3 linked regions of the Saccharomyces cerevisiae S288C genome follow. The protein of the gene in region 1 interacts with the protein of each later gene in a pairwise test. Each region holds a gene or a part of one and is shown in the gene's direction. Other genes may lie near its edges.

Evidence for each region. The genes of interacting proteins can lie anywhere in the genome.
Region 2: the proteins of END3 (region 1) and SCD5 interact in a two-hybrid assay, tested with the Saccharomyces cerevisiae proteins (2 studies listed by BioGRID).
Region 3: the proteins of END3 (region 1) and YAP1802 interact in a two-hybrid assay, tested with the Saccharomyces cerevisiae proteins (3 studies listed by BioGRID).

Annotation. Positions count from the first base shown.
Region 1 is NC_001146.8:465,570-472,802, reverse strand, and holds END3 (End3p), read left to right. Parts: upstream 1-1,700; coding exon 1,701-2,750; downstream 2,751-7,233. Other genes in the region: Ca(2+)-binding ATP:ADP antiporter SAL1, read right to left, coding at 1-1,426; MKT1 (Mkt1p), read right to left, coding at 3,180-5,672; SNN1 (Snn1p), read right to left, coding at 6,161-6,469; TCB2 (tricalbin), read right to left, coding at 6,856-7,233. UniProt on the Saccharomyces cerevisiae protein: Component of the PAN1 actin cytoskeleton-regulatory complex required for the internalization of endosomes during actin-coupled endocytosis. The complex links the site of endocytosis to the cell membrane-associated actin cytoskeleton.
Region 2 is NC_001147.6:934,171-941,055, reverse strand, and holds SCD5 (Scd5p), read left to right. Parts: upstream 1-1,706; coding exon 1,707-4,325; downstream 4,326-6,885. Other genes in the region: DNA-directed DNA polymerase gamma MIP1, read left to right, coding at 1-1,435; ATP-binding cassette multidrug transporter PDR10, read right to left, coding at 4,559-6,885. UniProt on the Saccharomyces cerevisiae protein: Regulates both fluid phase and receptor-mediated endocytosis. Involved in vesicular transport at a late stage of the secretory pathway. Regulates actin cytoskeleton organization.
Region 3 is NC_001139.9:972,315-978,246, reverse strand, and holds YAP1802 (Yap1802p), read left to right. Parts: upstream 1-1,665; coding exon 1,666-3,372; downstream 3,373-5,932. Other genes in the region: LSC2 (succinate--CoA ligase (GDP-forming) subunit beta), read left to right, coding at 1-211; MPC3 (mitochondrial pyruvate carrier), read right to left, coding at 471-911; YGR240C-A (uncharacterized protein), read left to right, coding at 3,470-3,670; PFK1 (6-phosphofructokinase subunit alpha), read left to right, coding at 4,513-5,932. UniProt on the Saccharomyces cerevisiae protein: Involved in endocytosis and clathrin cage assembly.

The DNA of each region.
Region 1 (7,233 bases):
GATTGGATAAACAACAGAAGCTCCTACAGTTCCACTGAATGCACCCATTGGAAGTACAACCAGGTTGCTTAGAGTGACCTGATCTTGTGGTAGGTTCAGGGTCTTTGCCTGTTTGGCAATATACCATTTTTTTAAGGCAGAAAAAGTCCCCAAATCTAATGCAGCATAGGGAAATATGCCCACTATACCGACTGTGACACCTCTGTAAAATAATCTGACCCCCCCCCTCTCGAAACATATCTTTTGCAGTCTGAAAGAGCAAATTATTCCCCTTCAACTTTGTGTCCAAAGGAGCGCACTGCACCCTGAATTTCAAAGTATCTATAGGATAAACGGAAAACTGAGCTGCCATACCAGCTAAACCACCAGCAATGTAAGTAGAGAACTTTGAAAGATCTTTTGTGTCGCGGCAGCCTTCTAATTTGGTCATTATTTTCTTGGTGACCTCGAAAGAACCAAACTTTATCGAACTTTCTGGAAAAACTTTGATGACGTTTAAACCGTTCCCAACATAAAAAGCCTTTATCCCGCCTTGCCTATATAAGCTTTTGACAGCCTTTGCTAATGGAGATGATATCTTGTTTATGTCAGCATTGGGGTTTTTAGCAAGGAGATCTGTTTTTGAATTTAACAAGATCGAGGATAGATCCGTTCTTGCGATGAGAAACACTTTCAGTCTATCAAATGGCGCGGTACAAGTCCTTGAAATAACACCTGAAATACCACCAGCAATAAAAAACCCGAACCCGCGAATGAAATCGTTTATGAGAGTAACATCTCCCTCTGAGGACAGATCGACATCTTCGTTGAATAGGTAAAAATAGGAATAAGCAGTATGAAGTCTCGAACCCTGCTTTCTCGGTACCAGCAGCAAAAAGTCTCTCCATTGATCATATGTAACGTATAAATCTGAGTCGGTGGTTTTCTTTGACCGATCATTATCAGTATTCTTTTTGTGGCTAGCCTGGCCTCGTAGCGCAATGTTGGCTTTTCTCTTTGGAAACGCCCATTCAAAAAACCTCGAGAATTTGTTCATCTTTTCATTTGAAAGTTCATGATTAAGTTCATTATTACATATGCTCTGGTTGTCGAGGTCTGACAAATACCTATTTATTTCGTTAATGCCAATCTTACCGTCATGATCTAAATCTATCCTCTGGAAGCCGTTCCAAATTTGAGATTCGGCATTGGAAGCATACTTCTTGAAATCGCTTAAATCAACTACAGAGTCCTTGTTAACATCCATTGCAGTAAACAGCATTTTGATTGCCTCATCATTTCCCTTGAGCGGATGGTCGTTCTTCTCAAAAGCACTTATCAGATTATCTAGAGTAACTTGACCATTTCCCTTAACATCAAGTTCCTTGAACAAACACGCATACCGTATATCTCGCTGCTTGTCCGTCTCGCAATTTTTCAGCAGCATTTAGACCGTCATTCGATTGAATTAAACGTTATTTGCCCCTTCAAATATTCAATATTTCCCATCGCTAATAAAAAAGCTGCATTTTTATTTATTACTTTTTAAATATCATATTTGACGATCGTGTAGGACCCCTATGATTTAACATATCAAGAATGAATGAAAAGAACGTCAGAAACACAAGGTTAATTGCCTGTTATAATCAGACGATTGTAATATAACCATAGAGTTAGTGGGTATTGGAAAGGCCGGTAAAGATAACAGGGATCTCTGAAAAATGCCCAAGTTGGAACAATTTGAAATAAAAAAATACTGGCAAATCTTCTCGGGTTTGAAACCAATAGAGAATAAGGTAAACCATGACCAGGTTTTACCAATTCTTTATAATTCCAAATTAGATTCATCGGTTCTAAACAAGATTTGGTTTTTAGCTGATATTGATGACGACGACAATTTAGACTTTGAGGAATTTGTAATTTGCATGAGATTAATATTTGATATGGTTAATAAAAACATTAGCTCTGTTCCAGATGAATTGCCTGATTGGTTGATTCCAGGGAGTAAGGTGAATCTAATCAAAGAAAGAAAGAAGCGCAAGCAAATAGAAAACGCAGACTTGCCTCCAAAGAAGGAAATCAAAGTAGATTGGTACATGTCTCCAGATGATTTGAATCAATATGAAAAAATTTATAATAGCTGTGCAAAACTAACCGATGGTACTATTACATTCAACGAACTGTCAACAAAACTTTCCACAAAATTTTTTAACATCAGTAAGACAGATTTAAATAAGGTTTGGAGTTTAATTAACCCACAAAATTTGCCATCAATTGATAGAGATCCTACTTTTTATTTTATTCACTGTTTAAGACAAAGAAATGATTTGGGTGCTGAAATTCCAGCAAGTTTACCAAATTCTCTGGCGGAGGTGTGCAATAAAAAACAACTGAGCTATGATTTACGGTCCTCTCAACCTCCTACAAAGAGAAAAGAAGAAGCTAACGAAGTGGACAATCTGCGTGACAATGGGCAGAACTCGAGTTCCGATAGCAGTGGCAGTAACGTGCTTTCAAATGAAGACAGTATAAAGCAAAAATATGCTTCTCTGACAGATGATCAAGTTGCGAACATGAGAGAACAATTAGAAGGCCTTTTGAACTACAAAAAGAGTGAAAAAACTCAAGGAGGCTCAAAACTTTCTAAGCGGATTAACATCAGGTCGATAACTGATGACTTGGATAACATTGAACAGCAGGTTGAAGTATTGGAGAATTACTTGAACAATAAGAGACACGAATTGCAAGCATTACAAGCAGAAATCAATTGACACCGATAATTAATTTTATGTACATGAATGTGTAATATTTACTGTTTGTTATTTCACTTGTAAACTTTTTTGATTTGAACTTCAATCTATCCAGTAACGGTGTGGTGTATACTTATTTTTTCCTTTTCTTCTCTGCCGGAATTTCATAAAATTTTTACTGTTCAGCGTTCTTTACATATTTATATAATAGAATATGTCATATAAAGAAACAGTGACTTAGTTTCTGTTTTACTTTTTTTCTCCTATTTCTACCGTGATTTTGATTAGTTTTTTCTTTAATTGTTGCTATTCACTGTGCTTGTGTTAAATCTTGATGATGGTACTTGAACCCTCTGAATAATGATAATATACCTCTTTACAGTAACTATCTTTCTTTATTGGGTGCTTTTTAAATAGTTCCACTATTTCCATCATACTCATTCTCACGCTTCAGCTAGATAGAGCTGTTGTAGTAAACTCAACTGCTTTAGTGAATAATTTAAACACGTTTTCATCGATTAATTTCGCAGCATTTAGCTCCTGCATGACTTTTGAAATTTCAAGAAGAAATCTATGGGATTCGACAAACTGTTCATCAAGATTTGGTGTGGATTTGTAAGTGTTGAATTCAGTAGCAACTAAAGACAATGCATCATTCTTGGCATTACCATTGTGAAGATATTTTTGTAAGAAAAACTCCCACATCATAGCCATTATAGTATTTGGGGAATCTAATTTGAACGGTAAATATCTAACAATCTTTCTTGCCCAACCAAAGTTATCAAGTGATAATCTATTAAACTCGCCAGAAGTTAAAGATGAGATCAAAACGGCTTCAAAAAGTTCATTTAAATTTTCCTTTATGAAAGAAAGATGATCTCTAAAGATCAAAGTTTTCTTATCAATTGGTCCGTGGTAATTTGATGGCTTTTGGTCCACTTGAAATAAAGTTAATACACGCGTAATCAATAGGACGTACAATGATTCTTCAGGATATGAACGAAGAGTGGCTTGAGATAGGGCTGAGGGAGCCGGTGGTTGAACTTCTTCGTCAAGTTTTAAGACATCGCATTTCAAAAATACCAAAAAGATAATAACTGATTCGTGATACTTACTGTCAATATTGAGCTCATTTAATTTTAAGAATACCTCACCCCATCTCGTAGGCTCTAGCAGTTTTTCCTTGAAATCAAAAGTGAAGAACTCCAATAGTACTAGTAATCTTAAGAAATTGGTCGACAATAAATTAAATGGTGAGTTTAATTTGGATTCGATTGGTACGGAGTTTGGGAAAATGACTTTTTCAGATATAAAATCTTTCGCCATATTGCTAGAACCATTTATTGTTGTAATGAACTCAGAGATAGAAAATTCCTTTTCATCAGACGTTTCTGTTTTAACAATTAAGTGGTTGATAGTTTCAAACATAGAAGGTGACATCCTGTTGGTCAAAGTGGTAGGCTCATTTGCCGCATACCACTTGACTTGTTTAATTTGTTTAATCTGATAGTATCTGTTAATTGGTTGAGTTAATAAATTGATTTCTTTATTCTTGAAGATTTCAACGGACTTGGAAACCAGTTTCTTGTAGGATGTAGAAGATCCTCCGCCCAATGGAGGCTCTTCAGGATAAACTCCTGTGACAATTGCGTCAAATAATTTTCCAGTAACCAGTCCTATGGATCTATAGAAATAGTATTCATGAGGTAACATTTGGCCGATAAAATCATGAACATCATTAGGAATATCTCTTGGTTTTCTAACCTCTTTAGTGCTGGATTTTTCATAAGTTAACTTTTCACTAGCGTTCTTAGTCACGGTGGTAGCAGGAGAAGCACTAGATGACGCAGAAGATGGTGAGGAAAGATTACTCTTTTTTCCATCCTTGTTATTCTTTTCACTGTCCTCCTCTGAAACAACGATCTCTTGAACAAATAATTCAACTTTACCTGTATCTTTCAAGACTGGCATGTATCTTAATGCAGAAATACCTCTTTGGTAGTTTTGAATATTCTCTTTGGAGTCATTTTGTAAGGTTGTAGATAGTTGATAGGCATAGAAGTTTGTACCTGTATTCAAAACCATTTCTAGAGCAATATCAAACAGCTGAGGAACTGGATAAATTTGCAATGGTGGTAAAGTTGTTGGTTGCAAATCATTACCTACAGCCATAGCAATATCGATAAACTCTTCATGGGTACAACCTAAATCCTTCATCACTCTTGACCTGTCAATGAATCGAAATTCTTTATTTGGAAATTCCATACCCAAAATGAACCTATCAACACAATCTAGCATCAAACAATCAGTTGGGCCGTAGATCGCATCAATATAAGCGCTATTCAATAAATATGCTAGTTGAAACCAAGAGGAGTAAGGAGCCACTTGGTACATATACCCATGCTCAATAAAATAAGCGATCAAATCGTTTTGGTAAGCTTTGGAGTCAATTGTGGTGTTATGTCTGAATGGCTCTTGGGGTTGAATAGGCTGGTCAATATAGGAATTCTGATTCGAACTAATCAAGTTGTTCCATTGTGTCCAGCCTCTACTTCTCTGCAAAAGAACGGATTCCGTGTTGGATCTTGTTGTGGCATTGGTACCGCTGCTGGAAGTAGTGGTTGACGAAATCGACGCAGAAGCAGATGCTGCAGTAAAATGGCCCGATGCCTCTAATTGGTTGTAAGTCAAACCACCATTAAAGACAAAAATAGGGGTAATATTGAAATCCTTGAATATCTTTAAGTCGCTTTCCAAATACATTTTTAAACTGGTAGGGAAACCACCAATGGCATCCAAATACTGTTCTCTTTTATTGGTCAACAATCTGGAAACATAATGGTTGACGTCTATATCCAGGGTACAATTATTCAGAGCCTCAATGGCATAGGATCCTACTAGACCTCTTTCGAAAAGGAACGATTCCAATGACTTGATTGCCATCGCTTAATTTGCTATTAATTTTTCTGCCTTTAGTACTTTATAGTTCAAAATATCTGAATTTTTGTTATGAATAAATAAAGAGAGTGAAACAGTCTTTATCAGTCAGTCACGCTAAAATAGTTAATGGACAAATTTGGTAATAAATGATTGTAATTTACCAATGTGATTTTTTGTTTTCAAGGTTATAAAGAATTTAAAAGGAAAGGCAAAAAACAAAAAATAGACCAGATATAAGCGAGACAGTTATTTCTTTAATGTAGTTCAATGGTTATTACGTTAATGTTAATATAATAACAATAATAATTAAACAGTCGAGCTGACAAGCTAGAATAACTCTAGCGTGCTACGTTCTTGCTTTCCAGATTTTCCACCATTTTTCGTCTTGTTCTTAATATCGTTTCTCACGGTAGTATTATAAGTACACTGTCGATGCCATCTACGAATGGGTAAAAGGAATCGAAGATTATGCTATACATGTGTATGTTTACTTAGTTGTTGAGGGCTCTAGCATTCCCCTGAAGCTCCTCGTATCTTTGTGAGAGAATGCGCACACGGGCAGATAAGTCAGCCAGTTTATCCATGGTTGGTTTGAATGGTTCTGGGTCATAAAGGACTTGACCTTCTCTTCGAAGTTTATCGCGAACCTTCCGAAGCATAAGGATGAGTAGTGCTTGCGACTCGCGTAATTCATTGATCGATTGATACAGTCCGTCTAAATCGGTGGACAATACTGAATACACCGACAGTTCAACTGGATGGACGCCAGTGCCGTCAGCGCTTATACTATCCCCTGCCATTGCAAAATCCTCTTTCTTCTAAATACTAATGAGACTATATCTACAGTTCTTTTTTCTGGAAATATTGGTGGTGTTTTAACTGTTGATGAGCTGTTTTGGTGGTTTAGCCTCCGTTCTTATTTTAAGTTCTACTTCTACGGTTTTTTTCGCTCAGTCATTCTTCCTACTTAACACTGGAAATGAACAAAACGCTAAGTAGTTTCCCATTTAAGAACACACATAAAAGTACACATTTGTTACAATTTACATACGTAGTAATAAAGAAAAGTACTATAGTAGCACTCGGCATGGTTGAGTTGTTAAGATTGATTTCTCTTTTCTTTTTTTGCTCGTACATTGCGGCATCAAGATGATTTCGTGACACATACTCTTTACCATCGATAGAATTATTGCTTCTCTTCGGATTTTTTGTCCCCAGTGGTTGTAGACTTCTTGCCACCAAAGACTCCGGCCTTTACTTTATCAATTGTTCCTAATCCGGTGCTTACAACATTGGTTCCTAAGGCGAAAACTGTAGAACCAGCTTTGATGCCTGTACCTAATCCTTTCGTGGCAAAATTTCCAAGCCCGGCTTCACGTTTGACTACATTGGTAGTATAGCGGGGTTCAAACTCAAATTCAAGATGTAGCACACCGCCATCTTCTCCCTTTGGTCCCACTAACGGTATATTAAAGGTGGTATCGCTCTCTGGATCAATAGTAGATAATGGAACAACGGCTTTTCCAATACTCCTATTGGAGTTAGTGGATTCGTAGTCTTTCAC
Region 2 (6,885 bases), on another chromosome or scaffold:
TGAAGAGACAAAAAAAATTGCGAATAAGTTATATGAAAATACGAAAGGTAAAACGAAAAGATCAAAATTATTCAAAAAATTTTGGTATGGTGGATCTGAGTCAATTCTATTCAATAAATTAGAAAGCATCGCGGAACAAGAAACTCCAAAGACACCGGTACTGGGATGTGGTATTACCTATTCACTTATGAAGAAAAATCTGAGGGCGAATTCCTTTCTACCTTCAAGAATCAATTGGGCCATCCAGTCATCTGGAGTGGATTATCTACATCTTCTTTGTTGCTCCATGGAATATATTATTAAGAAATATAACCTTGAGGCAAGGCTTTGCATTTCCATCCATGATGAGATTAGATTTTTGGTGAGCGAAAAGGACAAATACAGAGCTGCTATGGCTTTGCAAATCAGCAACATATGGACGAGAGCAATGTTTTGCCAGCAAATGGGGATAAATGAATTACCGCAAAACTGTGCCTTTTTCTCGCAAGTAGATATTGATTCTGTCATACGTAAAGAAGTCAATATGGACTGCATAACCCCCTCGAACAAAACCGCCATTCCTCATGGGGAGGCGCTTGATATCAATCAACTGCTAGACAAATCCAATAGTAAATTGGGTAAACCAAATCTCGATATCGACAGCAAAGTATCACAATATGCCTATAACTACAGAGAACCTGTATTTGAAGAATATAATAAATCTTATACTCCAGAGTTCTTAAAATATTTTCTTGCGATGCAAGTCCAGTCAGATAAGCGCGATGTGAATCGGCTAGAAGATGAGTATCTGCGGGAGTGTACATCCAAAGAATACGCTAGAGATGGGAACACTGCAGAGTACAGCCTCCTAGACTATATAAAGGATGTCGAGAAGGGCAAAAGGACTAAAGTACGTATTATGGGATCCAATTTTTTAGATGGTACCAAAAATGCCAAAGCTGATCAACGAATCAGATTACCTGTCAATATGCCAGATTATCCCACACTTCATAAAATTGCTAACGATTCAGCAATCCCAGAAAAGCAATTGCTGGAGAACAGGAGAAAGAAGGAAAACAGGATAGATGACGAAAATAAGAAAAAATTAACCAGAAAAAAGAATACCACGCCTATGGAAAGGAAGTACAAAAGAGTGTATGGTGGCAGGAAGGCATTTGAAGCGTTCTATGAATGTGCAAATAAACCGTTAGACTATACTTTGGAGACAGAAAAACAATTCTTTAATATTCCTATAGATGGAGTGATTGACGACGTTCTGAACGACAAATCTAATTATAAAAAGAAACCATCACAAGCAAGAACGGCATCATCATCGCCAATAAGAAAGACTGCGAAAGCAGTACATTCCAAAAAATTGCCGGCAAGGAAGTCAAGCACTACAAATAGAAATTTGGTTGAGCTGGAAAGGGACATTACTATTTCTAGAGAGTACTAGGCAAAATCTGCATTAGCTTTCGCATTTGTATTTATATATACAGCACATTATAATATTATTTTTTTATTTATTTCTACTTACTTTTTTTCGCCAAATGAGAAAACAAAAGTAAGTTGCCCCTATTAGAAAAAGAGTTAACATTAGGAAACGGGGACAAAACAAAAGGTAGAATTCAAAATAGGAATTCAAAACCCAAATTATCTGCATCTTCTCGTTAGCTAAGATTTTATAGATCATTGCAGGCTCGATAAATTTTACATGGTAACGAAACATGTCGTTTGATTGGCTTAATGTTCCGGGATTGGACTTAAGCAGCGGGGACCAAGCAGAAAAGAGGCCATCGAATGGATTAGGACCACCCAGTGTGTCTTTTGATTTTGGTATAAATACTGCTGCTCCACATGATTCCAGCTTTTGGGATCAGGGATCAAGAAGTCACAGTGATACAACTTTGTCTTACAGAAATAATCACTCAAATACAGCAGCTGATAATGCCACTAACGTGAGCTCTCCTCAAAAGGATAATCCACCTAATGGGGAGGTACGAACACTTTCTGGAGGCGATGTGTACGCGGAGTCACCAGAAGACATGCAAGTCCCATTGTCTTTATCACAAAACCAACTTACCCATGAAGAAATAAGGACATATCTAAGATGGTACCACTATATATGTTTGAGAACCCATGGAAAACTAGTAAGATTGAACGACGTGTTTAGGTTCTTGACCAATTTTAATTTATCACAAAAAGTAAAAGATAGAATTGTGGAAATTTTCCGTAGCTGTAAAAATGCGTTAAATATTGGTCAATTTTTCGCTGTTTTAAGATTAGTTTCTAGAGCTATTATATATGGCATCTTACCTCTAAGACGCATGATCTTGGAAAAGGCACCTGTTCCCAAACCACGTCCTATCCTAAGTAGTGAGAATCACGAAGAGGTGTACGAGGAGGTGGAAGACGATGATAGTTCTGCCAAAACTGGTGATCAAAAGGTCGATTTTGACTCATTTGCTTCATTGCTGTTGACTGGTAAGACAACGAGAAAAAGAGTCAGGAGAAGAATCAAAAATTTGAATTTTAAGAGTAAGAAGGTTAGGTTTTCAGAGCATATAACATTTCAAGACCCTCCAAACCTCAATCAAGAATCATCTAATAATAGTGAAGCAAGAAAGCAAGATCCTGATGCAGAAGATGAAGATCAGGATTCTAATAATGACAGTCCTTTGGATTTCACATTGCCCATGGATCAATTATTAAAGAGGCTATATAAGCGGAGAAAAAACAGCGGATTAGTTTCGAGTTTGCCCAGCGAACAACAAGAAACTGAGGAGGAGAAGAAAGTTTTGGAGGATATGAAGGATTCCTTGTCCCATTTCAAACAAATACAGACTGTTGATTCTGCCTCATTGCCAATTTCATCGGTATTTTTACAGAATGGCAATACTCTACCAACTAGCAATGTGAATAACACCACTGTTCCACAGCAACTTCCGTTAGAACCTTTGAAGCCAACCGCCACAGGTTCAGCTAATCACCTGGTGCGAGAAGAATATAATCAGGGGTTGCATCCAAGCAACGGTGCCATCCAAACAGGTTTACAACCTTTAAAACCAACAGCAACGGGCTCTGCAAATTATTTGATGCGAAGTCATATGGAACAACCTCAGTCTATCAAACCTTCGAGTACACCAGAAACAGTTACAAACTCTGGGGGACTTCAACCTTTGAAACCTACCGCCACAGGTTCTGCAAATTACTTGATGAAACAGCATATCTCACCTTCAGTTAATAACCCAGTATCTTCGATGTTTCAGGCGCAATTTACGAACCAATCTTCATCTCCACAAAGTACAGGACCAGCATTTCTGAATTCTCCGAACATTACTCTTCCTCAAAGCAATCAACAGCAACCTTACCAAGAGGTTAATCCGACTCAAGCGAAAATTGAACCATCTAACATATCGCCTCAACACACCTACTCTAACAATGTTCGGATTAATAATGGTAACATCGTATCCATGCCGAAAGTAGAAATAACTGGTGCATTCCCCCCTCAAAACACTCTTCCTCAACATCAGCAATCGCATTTGCTTTCTCCTCAAAATACGATCCCGCAGCACCAACGGTCGCAATTGATATCTCCACAAAATACCTTCACTCAAAATCAGCCCATTCTTTCTCCGCAACATACTTATTCCAATAATCAAGCAACAATGATATCCCCCCAGAATACGTATACTAATAATCAACAGCAGCCCCAACATCTTCCACCTCCTCCACCTCCACGCGCTCAGCAGCAGCAACAAGGGGCCATTGTGCCACCTCAACATATGTACTCTAACGTGCAAAAGCAGAATAATTTGGTGCCGACCCAACCCTCCTATACAAATTCACCAAGCATACAATCTCCAAATTTTTTGTCACCTCAGAATGCTGCTAATAGTTACTTTCAATCTTTACTTTCTTCTTCACCATCTCCAAATCCTACGCCATCAAATGCGTCTACTGTTAATGGCAATAACGCCAGTAATGGCATAAGTTCATTCCAAAATACTAGTGCGGCAATGAACAATACTCAATCTCATCAGACGTATATTCAGCAGCAACAACAACAACAAACTCAACAACGAATATATGGTGGCCAACTTTCTCAAATGCAACAACATCCGGGGCAACTTCACTTAAACAACAGTGATATACATAGCCAACCTAACAAGCCTAATTACGGAATGCTAGGGCAGCAAGTTCATCAACAGCAACAGCAACAGCAGCAGCAATTTCCATTCACTGCAGATGTTAATAGATCCAATTCAAGCGATATTTTGGGTAACTTGCAGTCATTGCAGCAGCAAGTCGATGCTTTACAAATCCAATATAATAGGAGACCATAGTATCGTAAGCTAAACGAGGTGTATAGTTTTGAAAGATAATATATGTAGGTATATGTGTACATAAAGTCACAAAAGTGATGTAATTTATGAACACCTGTTTACTAGCATTATTTATTGTCTTGATTATTGAGCTAGTCTTTTAGTTTCACCAAACATTTAGCAACATGGCGTAAACCTCTGAACAATAGTTAACTAATTTTGCATATACAATGAATGTAGCCAGTAATATTTAATTATTTCTTTAATTTTTTGCTTTTCTTTGGAACCCGCACCAGCCAGTATAAAAATATTGCTGCACAATAGTCAAAGACAATATATGCACTAAAAATGCCATAGTTCATCCATCTACGTGAATACGAAGAACTCACAGTCGCCAGATAATCATTGGTAGAACTGAATTGACAAAAGTGACATTCAGTTTCGGAACTCCCATCGAGCAGATAACCCGTCCCGGTGGATTGCATATAAGGTTCCATATATTCCGAGCATGTCATACCGCTTGGAGGAACAATTTTTAAAAGTTCGTTGCTGGAACAAACGACACTAGCATTGGCCAGTCCTACCGATAGCAGAGCATCAATGAGGTATGTCAGTGGCGATACTCTATACATAAAAATCCAGAATCTTGGTAGAATATTTGGCGTAGCCAGAACACCGCAGAAAGATAATGACATTATAAAGAAAAGTGAAGCGAGATTCGCAGCATTTTCTGCAATTTCAATGCATGAAATCACTAATACCCCCATTGAACTGATGTAGACGTAAAACGCGCACGCAAATAACCAAAATAAAGCTCCTCGTTCATGAAGTTGATTTGCATAAGAAGCATTTCTGTAAAATCCAACAGGATAATAATAGACGAAAAAAGCTATAGTACCGGCCAGTAAATTCCAAGGGATTTCCACGAGAATCTGCGATACAATAAATGCTTTCCACGAAAAGGTTCTTGATGGCCTTTCTCTAGCTTCATAAAGTTCCCTCTGCTGAACGAAAAGTGGTAAATATTGTTGCAATATTGGGTTGAATACCACTGTAAACATAAAAATGGCCAGCATTTGATTCTGTAGGCCCTGTAATGATGTATTCGCCTTGAAAAAAGTGAAGCCTATGAAGAGTTCAGACACAATTGTTGAAAAAAATTTTGACCATAAGTAAAATGGTGTTCTCCAATATTGATGGAATAATCGATAACTCACCAATTTGATCTGGTACAAAGTTGACGTAGCGAACTCCTTCTGCTCCTCATTTGACGAACCTTCCGTCCGTTTAGGCAATTCTCGTTCCATCCAGTCCAACTCTTTCTGCATTTCCCTATATTCTTCAGAATCTCTCCAAATGGCAAAATAATCTTGACTAGCGTGAGTTCCTGGTGCAGCACCTACTATTTCTAACATCCATTCGGCTGGATTGGCATCTGGTGGGCATTTATGGGCACCATGAGCTTCGAAATAGTTAATCATTGTTTTGCAACCTTTCCCTAGCTCTCCAAAATATACAGTTTGTCCGCCCTCTTGCAAAAATAGTAACCTATCAAACTCTTGCATTAAGAGAGCAGAAGGTTGATGAATGGTACATAAAATTGCTTGTCCGCGACTAGCCAATTTCTTCATTAATTGACAAGTTGACCATGCAGTTTGGGAATCAAGCCCAGACGTGGGCTCATCTAAAAATACCAACAGTTTTGGTTTGGCAGCTAACTCCACACCTATGGTTAACCTTTTTCTTTGTTCCACATTTAAACCTTCACCAGGAACGCCTACTATGGCATCAGCATAAAGTTTCATCTCCAATACCTCAATGACTTCTTCAACGTATTTATCTTTCTCCTCGATGGATACATCATCGGCTTGACGCAGGTACGCGGAAAACCTTAATGACTCTCTCACAGTTGCGGTTTTCAAATGCAAATCCTGCTGCTGACAATAACCAATTGATCTGGGGAAAGACTGGTCCCGCGGTCTACCATCTACGAATACATCACCAGTGATTAAACCCATCGTGGTTCTCTCGGCAAGACAATCTAATAACGTTGTTTTTCCTGCACCAGATGCGCCAATCAAGGCAGTTAGTGTACCAGGCTTGACCCAACCATCAACATTATCCAAAATTCTCCTCTTCCCATTCTTAATCGGGATATCGTAGCATAAGTTTTTCCAATGAAAAATCGCTTGTGATTTGGACAATTCAATGTCATCACTTTTACTAAAACTATTGCTTTGAGACGCAGAAGATGAAGGAGATGAATAATGCTCCTTGGCGACAGTTTTATCGTTACCCATTATAGCTGCATCAGAATCGCGTAAAAATCTTGAATCAGTCGCACTTGAATTGTTGTTCATCTCTACATCTTTCTCAGCATCAGATGTTGACAACGTTGGTTGGTTTTTCTTTTTCTTCTCAGAGACAATACCCTTCTTCTTCATCTTTTTAACCACACTATGGGGAAATACTAACATCTCACCATTTTGCTTTGCTCCTTCATTGTATTCACAAAAGAATAAATACAGAAATAAGAAAAAAATAATGTATGCTAAACCAATACCAACAGACCGCCATTTGT
Region 3 (5,932 bases), on another chromosome or scaffold:
TTTCGGCGGTATCGTAAGATGTGACTATGTTGCCCTGGGGCTGGTAGAAGCCGCCAGAGAACTAGAAGTTAGGGTCCCCATTGTGGCACGTTTGCAAGGTACCAAAGTAGAAGAAGGCCGCGACATTATCAATAAGTCAGGCGTGAAGATTTATTCGTTTGATGAATTAGATCCTGCTGCTAAAAAGGTCGTTGAATTGACCCAAAATTAAGCTTCTCGAGAAAAACAAAAGAGTTAATAATAAAGTATATATGCTTTTTTACTATTAATAAAGTTTCTTATTTTCCCTACATGTATACATACATATAAATATACTCTTTTGGAAAAAATTTCTTTTTTTTTTTTTTAATTTTTTTATATTTTTCCATCTTTTGATGTAATATAGAGGTTATATAATGAAAGAATATATAAGAGGTCATAAAAAATCATTAAAAAAATGCGAGTTCAGGAACATATTATCGTTTACGTAATCAGTGCGTTATTGGCGGATTAGTACCGATCACACCTTTGTTCATCGATGTGGATGCAGTTTGCTTTGCTGCGACGGCTGCAGGAGTCTCCCCTTTTATTATGTAGTGAATAACCTGTTTAAAAGAATCACCGTTCCGTATCCTAAAGTTAGCAATTCTTGTTAGATGGTAGCCTGCAGTGCAACCCAGGAAAAAATTGACGGAAGCTAACAGATAGTTCTTGGGCTTGATGACAAACGACCAACGCGTCCAAATCAGTGCCGTCGCTAATAAAGATAAATTTTGTGCTCCTGATACCTTCTCAACAGGCCTCTTAATATCATTTAGCCCTGCGAAGACCAGCCCCCACTTCAAAGTTGGGGCCCAGAAGTGTACTGTTTTAGGGCCTGTTTCACTATTCCAAAATCTTCTAAAGGCAAAATTAAAAGCTGATGCTGACATTAAAAATATAGGTTTGTGTTTCTATGTGTCTTGAATGCTTATGCGTATAGTCTTAAAGACTGATTGTATTCTTTTTTTTTATATGAAGTATTTCCGCCGTAATGAAAGGGAAAAGAAAATTTTCTCCAATACTCCAATTGCAACGCACCATATTATCCGGGAGAATACACGCACGCAGCCGCATATATATATATGATGGCCTTAGTTTTGTTTGAGCCTTTCGGTTTTGCGTGACCAAACCAGGGAGCGGCTCGCTTGACCCGCCCACGGAATGACGTAAAGCCGTTAATAGCCGATTGGCGGGAGAAATAAAAGCGGGGCACTCCCAAGATGAGGGGTAATCGGGGTAATAATATCCAATCAAGGAGGAAAAGGGCCAAATGTTACCCGACTATCCAAACTGCAGGGTAACCTTTATTTTTTCTTTTCTTTTACTCCTACCATTTTTTTTTTCAGATTTTTCCCAGTATGGCTTTGTTTTCATTTTGCTTTGGTGGAGGGATAGATTAAGTTTGCAGCTGCGTAGAAAAGTTTCTTTTCTACATTCGAGGAAAAAGTCGACTTATTAGTCTGGTTAACTTGTTATTAGGGCTTCTTGCTTGAGTTATAATTTTAGAAGGAGAAAAAATAAATCTGTAGCAGGAGTACCAATTTGCTACGCTTGCTAACATCTACGAGAGTAACAATATCAAGCATACAAGCGCGACTGTCTCGGCTACCCCTATAATAGATATAGAGGCGTGTTTGTGAAACAATGTCTTCATTATATACTAAGTTGGTTAAAGGGGCGACCAAAATAAAGATGGCCCCTCCAAAGCAAAAATATGTGGACCCTATTCTCTCGGGCACTTCGAGCGCAAGAGGATTGCAAGAGATTACCCACGCATTGGATATAAGGTTGTCTGATACAGCCTGGACCATTGTTTATAAGGCATTGATTGTGTTGCATCTGATGATACAACAAGGCGAAAAAGATGTCACGCTAAGGCACTATTCCCATAATTTGGATGTTTTCCAATTGAGAAAGATTTCGCATACTACTAAGTGGTCTTCCAATGATATGAGGGCTTTGCAGAGATACGACGAATACCTAAAAACACGTTGTGAAGAGTATGGCAGGCTAGGTATGGATCACCTACGAGACAATTACTCCTCGCTAAAGCTGGGCAGTAAGAACCAGCTTTCAATGGATGAAGAGCTAGATCATGTTGAATCATTGGAAATTCAAATTAATGCCTTGATAAGGAATAAATACTCTGTTTCAGATTTAGAAAACCATTTGTTATTGTATGCATTCCAATTGTTAGTACAAGATTTACTAGGTCTGTACAATGCTCTTAATGAAGGTGTCATTACACTTTTAGAATCATTCTTCGAATTGTCCATTGAGCACGCAAAAAGAACACTGGATCTCTATAAGGATTTCGTGGATATGACAGAATATGTTGTTAGATACCTAAAAATAGGAAAAGCTGTCGGTTTGAAAATCCCCGTTATCAAACATATTACTACAAAGTTAATTAACTCCCTTGAGGAGCATTTGAGAGAGGAAACAAAAAGACAAAGAGGTGAACCTTCTGAACCGCAGCAAGATAGAAAACCATCTACGGCCATTAGCTCTACCAGTAGTCACAATAACAACAGCAATGACAAGAATAAGTCTATAGCGCAGAAGAAACTGGAACAGATAAGGGAACAAAAAAGACTGCTGGAGCAACAATTACAAAACCAACAGTTGCTCATTTCCCCCACGGTCCCACAAGATGCTTACAACCCATTTGGATCACAACAGCAAGATTTAAATAATGACACCTTTTCATTCGAACCAACCCAGCCACAAATGACCGCTCAAGTCCCTCAACCAACTGCTAACCCCTTCTTGATACCGCAACAACAGCAACAGGCTTTACAGTTGACATCTGCGTCTACAATGCCACAACCAAGTGAGATACAGATTACTCCAAATTTGAATAATCAACAAACTGGGATGTATGCTTCTAACCTTCAATACACCCCAAATTTCACCGGCTCAGGGTTCGGCGGATACACGACCACCGAGAACAATGCAATTATGACCGGCACTTTAGATCCAACAAAAACGGGGTCTAACAACCCATTTTCGCTAGAAAATATTGCCAGAGAACAGCAACAACAAAATTTCCAAAACTCCCCAAATCCTTTTACCCTCCAACAAGCACAAACCACCCCGATTCTTGCTCATAGTCAAACAGGTAATCCATTTCAGGCTCAAAACGTGGTGACATCACCAATGGGCACATACATGACGAATCCCGTGGCCGGTCAACTTCAGTATGCCTCTACTGGTGCGCAGCAGCAACCACAAATGATGCAGGGTCAGCAAACAGGGTATGTTATGGTTCCCACTGCGTTTGTCCCCATCAATCAACAACAGCAACAACAGCAGCATCAGCAAGAAAATCCTAACTTAATAGATATATAGTGAGCGATAGATACTACAGTTTTTTGTTCTCAACAGGCCGTCCTTGCATATTATAAACTCTGATTTTTAGGTAATCCCTTCCACCTTTCTATATTTTATGATACTATCCAAACATGTAAATTTTACGTACCATACATATAACCTCATCTATAATTTTTACCCTGATCTAACTAACTTTGGCATGCCTGGTTCAATCTACGGGTTACAGTCATCGTTGAAAACGATGGAAAAACATGTCGAGATTCCTCAATCCATACACCATTATAGTCCGTTTTATCAGCTTCCACTAATTTTTTAAATCTCAGTTTCTTCTTGAAATTTAGCATCGTGCATGGGATAGCGGCTAGTAAAAAAGAAAATTAATATCTCATTAACAAAGTTATTGTACATAATCCGGTACAATATTCTTCAATGTACTCTCTAATATCGAGCACACTGGCAATATTCATGCACACATTCGCCTAATGCTGACGAATGCTTAATCAGTGCAATTACTGCCACCCTCTTGATATGTGGGCTAAATCCTTTAGGACCTGTAAAAAATGCAATCACGTTTTCACATTTTTTTTTTTCTTGCGGAATTGCGGAATTTCCCAGTTGGCAGCGTTATCCGATTTGAGATCGACTTGCATCAACCTTTGAAAAATATAAGGATGAGAAAGTGAAATCGGTTTTTTTTTTCCATTGTCGTCATCAACATGATTTTTTAAATAAATAAATACGATTTTTTATTTTTTTTCCCTTCTTTGTTTTTGTTTTGCTTATTCCCATCTTCATTATTAAATTCTTCCGCTCTTAATAAAGGAGTTTTTTTATTATCTTCTTGTGTAATCATCCTTTTTCTTTAATTTTCTTCCTTTTCTTTTTCTCTTTACTGGTTTTTTTACTTCTTTATTCTCAACCATCTAAAGAATATTATTGCTTTCTACCAATAAAATCTGTTAATTCTATTTGGATTGTCGTCTACTCAAGTCTCGCCTAGTAAATAAACGATAAACAAATTTGAAGTAAGAATAACAATATAGGGAGAGAAATTTTTCTATTTTTAATTTCGAAACAGGTACCAAAAAATCTAAGTTCACTTTAGCACTATTTGGGAAAGCTTTTATATAAAAAATCTGAAACAAAATCATATCAAAGATGCAATCTCAAGATTCATGCTACGGTGTTGCATTCAGATCTATCATCACAAATGATGAAGCTTTATTCAAGAAGACCATTCACTTTTATCACACTCTAGGATTTGCAACTGTGAAAGATTTCAACAAATTCAAACATGGTGAAAATAGCTTACTATCTTCAGGGACTTCCCAAGATTCCTTGAGAGAAGTTTGGTTAGAATCTTTCAAGTTGAGTGAGGTTGATGCTTCTGGGTTCCGTATACCACAACAAGAAGCTACTAACAAGGCTCAAAGTCAAGGTGCTCTATTAAAGATTCGTTTAGTGATGTCTGCTCCAATCGATGAAACTTTCGACACCAACGAAACCGCCACAATCACTTATTTCTCTACTGATTTGAACAAGATTGTCGAGAAATTCCCAAAACAAGCCGAAAAATTGTCCGATACCTTAGTGTTTTTGAAAGATCCAATGGGCAACAACATCACCTTCTCAGGCTTAGCTAATGCAACCGATTCCGCTCCAACTTCCAAAGATGCTTTCTTAGAAGCTACCTCCGAAGACGAAATCATCTCTAGAGCTTCTTCCGATGCTTCTGACTTACTAAGACAAACATTGGGCTCTTCTCAAAAGAAGAAGAAGATTGCTGTCATGACTTCTGGTGGTGATTCTCCAGGTATGAATGCCGCTGTTCGTGCCGTTGTTCGTACAGGTATACATTTCGGCTGTGATGTTTTTGCTGTTTACGAAGGTTACGAAGGTTTACTAAGAGGCGGTAAATATTTAAAGAAAATGGCTTGGGAAGATGTCAGAGGTTGGTTAAGTGAAGGTGGTACTTTGATTGGTACTGCTCGTTCTATGGAATTCAGAAAGCGTGAGGGTCGTAGACAAGCTGCAGGCAATTTAATTTCGCAAGGTATTGACGCTTTGGTTGTTTGTGGTGGTGATGGTTCTTTAACCGGTGCTGATCTTTTCAGACACGAATGGCCATCTTTGGTTGATGAATTGGTTGCAGAAGGTAGATTCACTAAAGAAGAAGTCGCCCCATACAAGAATTTGTCCATTGTTGGTCTTGTCGGTTCCATCGATAATGATATGTCTGGTACTGACTCTACCATTGGTGCTTATTCTGCTTTGGAAAGAATCTGTGAAATGGTTGACTACATTGATGCCACCGCTAAATCCCACTCCCGTGCCTTTGTTGTTGAAGTTATGGGTAGACATTGTGGTTGGTTGGCCTTGATGGCTGGTATTGCTACCGGTGCCGATTACATTTTTATTCCAGAAAGAGCTGTTCCTCACGGAAAATGGCAGGACGAATTGAAGGAAGTGTGCCAAAGACACAGAAGTAAGGGTAGAAGAAATAACACAATTATTGTCGCTGAAGGTGCTTTAGATGATCAATTAAACCCTGTTACTGCCAATGACGTCAAAGATGCTT